Linked DNA regions of Neurospora crassa OR74A. Each later gene encodes a partner of the first gene's protein in a complex. Links are inferred from orthologs where the notes say so. Each region holds a gene or a part of one and is shown on either strand. Other genes may lie near its edges.

Region 1 (4,282 bases):
TCCGTAGTCGTCTTTTCCGCGCAAGACGCGCCCCAGACACTGCGCGGCGTGGCGCATGGCGTCGAAAGAGAGAAAGTCGTTTTCGCGGATGCGGTACGTTTCGCGCAGGAACTCCAAGCGGGCCTTGAGGATGCGCGACTCGGTGTACTGGAAGGGCACGCCAATACAGAGCACGGTGCGGCCGTACTGGTGGTCAAAGTCGATGCCTTCGGACACTTTACCGCGCGCGACGCAGAGCAAGATGGCGCCGCGGCCGTTGCAACAGGCGGTGCGGTACGTCTCGAGCGCTAGCGAGGTTTCTTGCGCGTCTGGGGTTTCGACCAGAATGAGTTTGTGCTTCCACACTTCGTCGAGGATGCCCATGCCTTGCCACATGGAGATGATGGATTCCATGTACAAGTACGAGGGAAAGAAGACGACCATGCCGTCGGGCGTGATGCGGGCGAACTCGGTCAGGAGATTGCCGTAGTTGCGCACGACGCTGGGCTCGTTGCGGACTTGGAAGGAGGTGGAGATGGAGGCCTGGTCGGAGCCGCGGGTGACGATCATGGGGAGGAAAGAGCGGCGGGCGAGGGTCATGGCGTAGGATTCCTGCACGACGGTTTCGAAGTTGAGCATTTTGGGGTACATTTCAAGGGGGGAAATGGTACCGGAGGTGATGATGACGGAGCTGAATCGGTCGAAGACGGGCTTGATGGCGATGGCGGCGTCGAGGCAGGTGAAGTGCAGGACTGGGTTCGGGGTCTTGGCCGTGTCGGATTCGTAGGGCTCGAGGATCAGTAGGAAGCCCTTTTCGTAGGTGGCGACGAGGGTTGCAAAGGTGGCTACTTCTTGGAGTGGCCGGTAGTCTTCAATGTTGGTGAGCTCGAGGGTCCGTACTAGCGAGGTTAGACGCTCGGCGCAGAACCGGAGCGGTTTCTTCTCGATGAAGGTGTATTCTTTCAGGTGGGCGAGGAAGGATGGTGGTGTTTCGGAGATGACCTGGCGGACCTTCATGCGGGTCTTGAGGTATTCGATGAATCTCCGGAGGAAGGCAACGAAGTGCTCGGCTCGCCTGATATTGCCGGGGACAGCCTCCTTGAGCAGATCGTCGGGTAGTGTTGGGTTAGCCATAAAAGCATCCTCCTGTCGCCCTTCATCTAGACCCTTGAGTCCTTCGACTAGCTTTTCGTACTCGGACTGAAGTTTCTCTTGATCAGAGTCCTTCATCTCGCTGATTTTGGCCTCCAAGTTCTGAGCACCCCTGGTTGCCCTCATCAGTGAGTCCTGGGTGATGTCGGTACTTAGAGACTCGATGCAGACGTTGTCGATGTTGTGAGCCTCGTCAAAGACGACGATGCAGTCCTTGGATAGATCCTTGGACACGCGCTCGGCGATCTTGGGGTCTAGGAGGTAGTGATAGGAGTAGATGATGACGTTGCAGTGTTGCATCTACATATGAGCTGTTAGTATGTATGGCATCTCGAGCTATTACATCCGCATCCTGGGGTGTTGAGAAGAGACCTACCATCCTCCTGGCAGTGAAATAAGGACACTGTTTCTTTTCCTCGCCATACCTCATCAGGCCATCCAGTGTCCAAATTCCGTTAGGGATCAAGTTATGCGGTTCTAGAAGGTCGAGATTGTCGTGGTAGACGCACGTCTCCACATTCTCCCCCTTTTCCCTCTTCTCCTTGACGAAGCCGGCCGTCAAGCTGCGACACCTCGCGTCGACAATGGCACCGCTCTTCTCCCGCTTGACCGAGGGATGCAGACACAGGTTCTTTCGACTTGTCAGACCGAGACCGCGAAACTCTTCTTCGTGCCCCAGCCGCTCGGCTCGGAACTTCATGAGTGCTCTCAGCTCAACGAGGGCCTTTTCGATTTCGGACATTGTTCGCGAGCAGTAGATCAGCTTCCGGTGCTCTGGGTAGTATTGCTGGTAGGCGACGATGAGTGACAAAAGGGTGACGGTCTTGCCGGTGCCCGAAGGCATTTCCAGGACACAGTTCCCGCCTGCATCGAGGGTTTCTGTGGGGAGTGGTGGTGGTCAGTGGACGTGTGATGAGTGTGAGCTATTTGTTGAATGCTCACTTTTCAAGTCCACCATGTACGCATATTGTTCTGTGTAGTCGGTCTGTCAGCACTTGTGATGGTGTACCAATGTGGATGAGCTCACATACCTGGATATATCCTTGGGTAAGGAAACAGAACTGGGAGATCGCTGTTGTTTGCCGGCAAGTTAGTTATCTGGTTTTTTACAGACCAAGAACGCGAACGCGTCATCTCGGATTTGGCTCTTACTCGATGTTGAACTCCATGGTGGGCGTGTAGTATCACGGCCTTGGATACACGGACAAAGGGAAGGAATTACGAATGGCTGCGCGGGCAGCAGCAACGTTGATGAATGTTCTTGCTGGTTTTACTATGTCGCAGAATATCTAATCGACGCGGGTGTCCGGATGGAGAAGTGCGACAGGGCTGATGCTTAATATGGTCGTTTGATGTTCTATTTCGATGTTTGGTTTGGTGAGAAGCGAGAAGTCGTGAAATCGAGGTCAACTTTTGGCATGTGTCTGCACGCTGGAGCTTCTATCTTGGGTCTTGGCGGGGGCAGTCGTTCGTCTGTTCTTCGGTATTCAAAGGGGCCTCCTCCCTTGTCTCAAGTATGCAGCCTCAGGTCTTCCCCTAGACCGCGTATCTCTATTATTATGGCTGTTTGTATTGCGCTTGTTGTTGTATAGATTTGTGAAGTCGAGAAAGCACGTGCCAAGGTTGCCTGGCGGTGGCCTGTGGCGATCAGCTTCAGGACAGGATCTCGGTGGATTTGATGGATCAATGATGTGCTGTTTCTGGGAATCCGGATCTGGCACAAGGTCAGGTACGGTGATACTTTTACGGTGAGCTGCTGCCGGTCCGGCACGCTTGTTGCCGGCCCGCTGATGCCGGATTGACTGCAGTGAGTGTGGACCCCCCACACGCACAGTCTTTCTCATAGTTCAATTGCACTGTGGCCTTCACATTCAAAAACGACTGGAACACCACAACTTCATCGTCACTTCCACTTCCTCAGCAGCCTCTATATTCATATTTCCTTTGCGCACACTCGCTTCCATGCTCAAAAACTGGTGCACAGGCCGCGCTGATAGAGGTAGTCCGTCTTCTCTTAGTGATTGCAATGCTTCAAGTCTACAGCAATCGGCGGACTTGGAATTTCCTCGGATTCGGATTATACGATAACTATCAGTGTTGGTACTTCCGCGCTCAGTACGAAGGATCGCCATCTTGCCGATTATCTATCAGTCCATGGGTCTTATTCAAAAGGAAGATTAAAAAAACGACCGATGGAAAGACAGGTCCTTCAAAGTAGCGGGAAAACGAAAGCGCCAAAACAAGCTGCAAGAAGGGAGAAACCTCATCATCTCAGACGCTTGAAATCAACGATCGGGAGCAAATAGATTAATTCCACCTCTCACTTCAATACCGTCCGTGGAGTACCACGGCGATCCTCAACACTTTCATATCTCTCAGTCACACATGCAGTATCTCAGCATAACCTTTATGTGGCTGTCCCGTAGGTAGTTGTTGGAATCCAAGAGCTCAAAGTTCCCACATCGACTCGGGAGTCACCCACCACTCTTCATGGAACGTCAACTGACTGCCAGGTACATATTCCACTTTGGGTGGTGACTTTGATACCCCGACTCTCGTATGCCACCACCGGCGGTTGTTGGCGCATGAGTGAATACGAGCAGCGACTGTCACGATGGAAGAAAAACGGGGCTCATCAAATCGCGGCGGCGGCGCTTGTCTGCTCATTACTACTTAACCGCCGGTTTGGAGCAGCAGCAAAGTTCCCAATTCCAAGTAGGTAGACTTCCGAAGGATTCCCAAACCCCGCCGCGCGGTTGCGATCCTTCGCCCCGGACTTACTTCCATATCTACACAGAGGTACTCAGGGTGGGTGCGTGGTGATGGGTGTATGTAGGTAGATAGGTAGGCGCGCCCTTGCTGCCGTTGAGTCTAGATCGGGGCGAGGGAGGGAGGACGGAGGATTTGAATCGACTCCCCGAACGCCTCCTACTTGCATCAAATCGGCTGTCAGAGGTGAGTAGGTACCTTACCTAGAGGTAGGTAGCCGGGCTGGTACTTATAACTTGTTTTAGACGCCGCTGCTGTGGCCGTCAGAACTTTAACTGACTCCTCTTCCCTCCTCTACACGGCGGTGATGATTAGTGATCGGAACCCACTTGAGAGAAAAGGGGGGAAGGGATGGATACTGATGGAGGTGGTTAGTTGGTGT
Region 2 (3,371 bases), on another chromosome or scaffold:
GTGCTGGTGCGTGAAACAACTGTCCAGTGACAGCCCGAGTGCTTCACTGCAGTGGTCTTTTTGTGAAGCCGGGGGATACTGTGATCTGCAATGCAGGGTAGCACCTGAGGTTGCAGTCGATGGAGGTAATTTCACCAACTGCCCAACCTTATTATCTGGGTGCGGTGCGGGCATTCTGACTGCAGCGCGGGTCACTACACCGTAGGATTGACCGCAGCCAGACGACACAACGAACTTGTACGGCAACGGCAAGTGCAGTAATGAGGCATGTCTTGGCCCTGGTCTTCTTCTCGCGCTTCCAGAAGGTCGTCTTCAGAACGGAAGGAAGCACCGCCATGTTCAAGAATGCGGGCTTCGTTTGCGATCACATCTTCGACAGTTCATCGGGTCTTTCACTTTTGTCACATTTCAGTTTGGTGTAACAAGGCGCTACCGGTTATCGAGCTCCCGATGCACAGAATCTGAAACCGCCATCGGCAAGTCGTACCTAGTCACCTCTATCCGCCCTCGTCATATCGACGTTTGTTTTTCTTTTCTTTTTCTTACTTTCCTTTCCTTTTTTCTTTTTCATTCTCAAGACGGATAAAAGACTGGACATGGCATGTTTTGAACGGGTAGGGTACGTTGGTTTGCTGCACCTATTTCATCATTGTCAGCCAACGACATACTACCTCGGTCCCTGCGCCGCAAGGCAATCCAGGAGCAAACAAGAGGGTTTTGGGACTCCCTGGACAGAAAAGATATTTCTTGGTCTCCATCGCAGCTCCCTGCCCTGGATCCTCGTGAAATACTCCCAACTCTCAGTCTAGGCACCACTCAGTACCCGCACCCAATATCCGAGCCATACTATCACTAATCTGAGCTTGCGATTGGCACGAGTTTTGAGATTCGATCTCCGCTCCCACGCTGGCACTCTCAAGCGAAAAGGTGGGGTGGTTTACTGCAAGCGGTTAAGCCTTCCCGCCCAGCGATCCCTGGCAGCGTCCAGGGCCCGAAACGGCCACACAGAGTGGGAAAGTGGTTACAGGATTCGTTTTTTTGGAGACGCCATTGTCCCCCCTTGCCTGTGACTGCTTTGATCACATTCGGGGTTTCCATTAAGTAAGATCCAATGTGATCATCCAGACCAGCCGGCCACTCATGGACGAATTATTTGTTGAAGCTTGTTGGTAAGGGAATGTGAGAATCATCTATACACACTGTTCTTGCAATTGAGGTTGAAGTGAAGGTCATGATGCCCTCATCATCTATTCATCTGATCTGGAGGGACAGCACCTGGATTCAAGGTTCAGTAAGTATAATTGCGGGTATGTAATCGCAAGGCAAGTTTTCTGACCTGAACCCGAACGTATGTACCTACGTAATGTTCCGTATTCTGCAAGCGTACGTAGGTACCCGTGTCTGCCGCTGCTTCTCTGTCACTTCATGCCAGGTTGCTCGCGTCGTTACAGAGAAGGCGCTGCCAACAAATTGTACGCTCAAACGCTGTATTTGAGTTACCATACAGCAACACAAACCCATTTCTTCCACGCCAACCATCTAACGATCCAACCATATCCCGACCAACAACCAGCACAGCCCGATACATTCCAAACCACGTCGCATACGACATTGTTCTCAGAGCATATACCCAAAAGGCCAACTTGATGAGGGCTACGGCGACATAAAAAAATCACAGGACATTTTGCCATCCCGCCAGAAACTACAGCTATTCAAGATGCCGAGAGCAATCAGAGGTCAGTATGGATTCCCATGAAATACCATATAAATGACGTGTACATGGGCTTGTCTAGTCAAGACTCATTCATAAGCAACAGCACAGCACGACTCTAACGCAAAACAAATACTCACCCTGCTAACACTGGTCCCTGGCTCAGGTGTACTCATCCAGTGCGAACCAGCCATCAAGTCCATCATCGTTCACTTGGATAGTGTTAACAACGATATCATCATCGAAGATCTTGATGAGCAGACCCTGGTTGTTAAGGAAAACATGGTGCAACTGCTCAAACAGAAACTCGAGGACGTAAGTCATATGCTTCCCCTTTGCTTTGTCCAGTGTGACCGTTTGGCCCGCATCGTGAACTAGATATCATGTCCGATTATATCACCTTCCTCTGGCTGACACTTTCCTACCTACAACAGCGCCTGAAGGAAACATACAGGCCCGAGGAACCGCTGGCAGATAGTGACTAGGAGTTGCCTAGTAAATAGGAGACGCATACGTAGTGACTTCAAGTCGCTGAACCCCCCCGAATTACATGCATTTATTTATACACCTTCAACACTGCGTAGCAGTTACCAGCCTGCGATGGACTACTTGATCCTCTTTAAAGCTTTGAAAAGACGGGCTTCTTCTTCTGCACACTAGCCGATAACGCGTCCATCATATCTCTTGATTGCAAAGCAGCCGAGTTCCAGACGGTGGTATACCGTAAGCCTGTGTCAAAATTATCAGTTTAGCCTTTCCTTCACGATAACGAGCAACGAGGAGGAAGAGAAACCAAGAAAGGAAACGTACTTTCAGAAACCGAATGGTCCCTTGCGTGGTTCAACAACTCCTTAGTTCCCTGTACAGCAATCGGGCTCTTCCCAGCAATCAAGCCCGCCAGCTTGATCGCCTGATCCAGGGCAGCCACCTTGCTGTCGAGAACTTGGCTGACGAAGCCGACCTGTTGCGCCTCGGTCGCGCCAAACTCTCTTGCCGACATGCATACCTCCTTCACCCACGAGAAGTTGCCGACGGCCTTGGGCAGCCGGCTCAGCGTGCCAATGTCGGCGGCCAGGCCGATGTCGACCTCCTTGACGGCCAGCCGAACGTCACGCGTGCAGAGCCGAATGTCGGCGGCGCAGGCGATGTCGATGGCGAGGCCGAGGGAGATGGCGTGGAGGACGACGATGACGGCTTCAGGGAGTTTCTGTAGGTTAGCAAGATTCGCATGCACTGGTTCATTGGCTTGACGTATATATATCACCCTGGGTAACGAAGAGTGACAAGTCGGCACAGTCAATACATACGTTTCTCGCACAATTCAATAGCCGAAATGCTATCCTGAAATTCAGTAATGTATCTTCTCAACTGGGCCGCCTTGCGCCCGACGTCGAGGGCGCCGCTCGACTGCAGCTGGTTGTTCGAGCTGGCCGCGTGGATGTCCAAACCCGCCGTGAAACCCCGGTCACCGGCGCCCGAGAGCACCACGGCCCGCACGTCCGGGTCCGACGACAGCTGCCGGAAGATCTGGCCCAACTCCAGCCACATGGCCTCGAAAAAGGCGTTGAGTTTGGCAGGACGGTTGATCTCCACGTGCACGACGAAGGCAGGCCCCGCGGAGGTCACATTGAAGTGTTTGTAGGATGTATATCCTTTGAGT

What was found.
Region 2: NCU01625 (region 1) and NCU06646 share a complex: the UniProt entries of both Saccharomyces cerevisiae proteins name them as parts of the 7-subunit TFIIH core complex. The link is inferred for Neurospora crassa OR74A from reciprocal best matches to the Saccharomyces cerevisiae genes RAD3 and TFB5.

What each region holds. Positions count from the first base shown.
Region 1 is NC_026502.1:2,932,142-2,936,423, reverse strand, and holds the start of NCU01625 (DNA repair helicase RAD3), read right to left. Parts: upstream 2,821-4,282; 5' UTR 2,301-2,820; coding exon 2,284-2,300; intron 2,204-2,283; coding exon 2,163-2,203; intron 2,104-2,162; coding exon 2,074-2,103; intron 2,011-2,073; coding exon 1,508-2,010; intron 1,432-1,507; coding exon 1-1,431. UniProt on the Saccharomyces cerevisiae protein: ATP-dependent 5'-3' DNA helicase.
Region 2 is NC_026505.1:4,109,279-4,112,649, forward strand, and holds NCU06646 (RNA polymerase II transcription factor B subunit 5), read left to right. Parts: upstream 1-1,492; 5' UTR 1,493-1,717; coding exon 1,718-1,736; intron 1,737-1,877; coding exon 1,878-2,026; exon of another isoform or gene 2,027-2,145; coding exon 2,146-2,196; 3' UTR 2,197-2,330; coding exon of another isoform or gene 2,331-2,440; 3' UTR 2,441-2,521; downstream 2,522-3,371. Other genes in the region: NCU06647 (enoyl-CoA hydratase/isomerase), read right to left, coding at 2,331-2,440, 2,522-2,905, 3,019-3,371. UniProt on the Saccharomyces cerevisiae protein: Component of the general transcription and DNA repair factor IIH (TFIIH) core complex, which is involved in general and transcription-coupled nucleotide excision repair (NER) of damaged DNA and, when complexed to TFIIK, in RNA transcription by RNA polymerase II.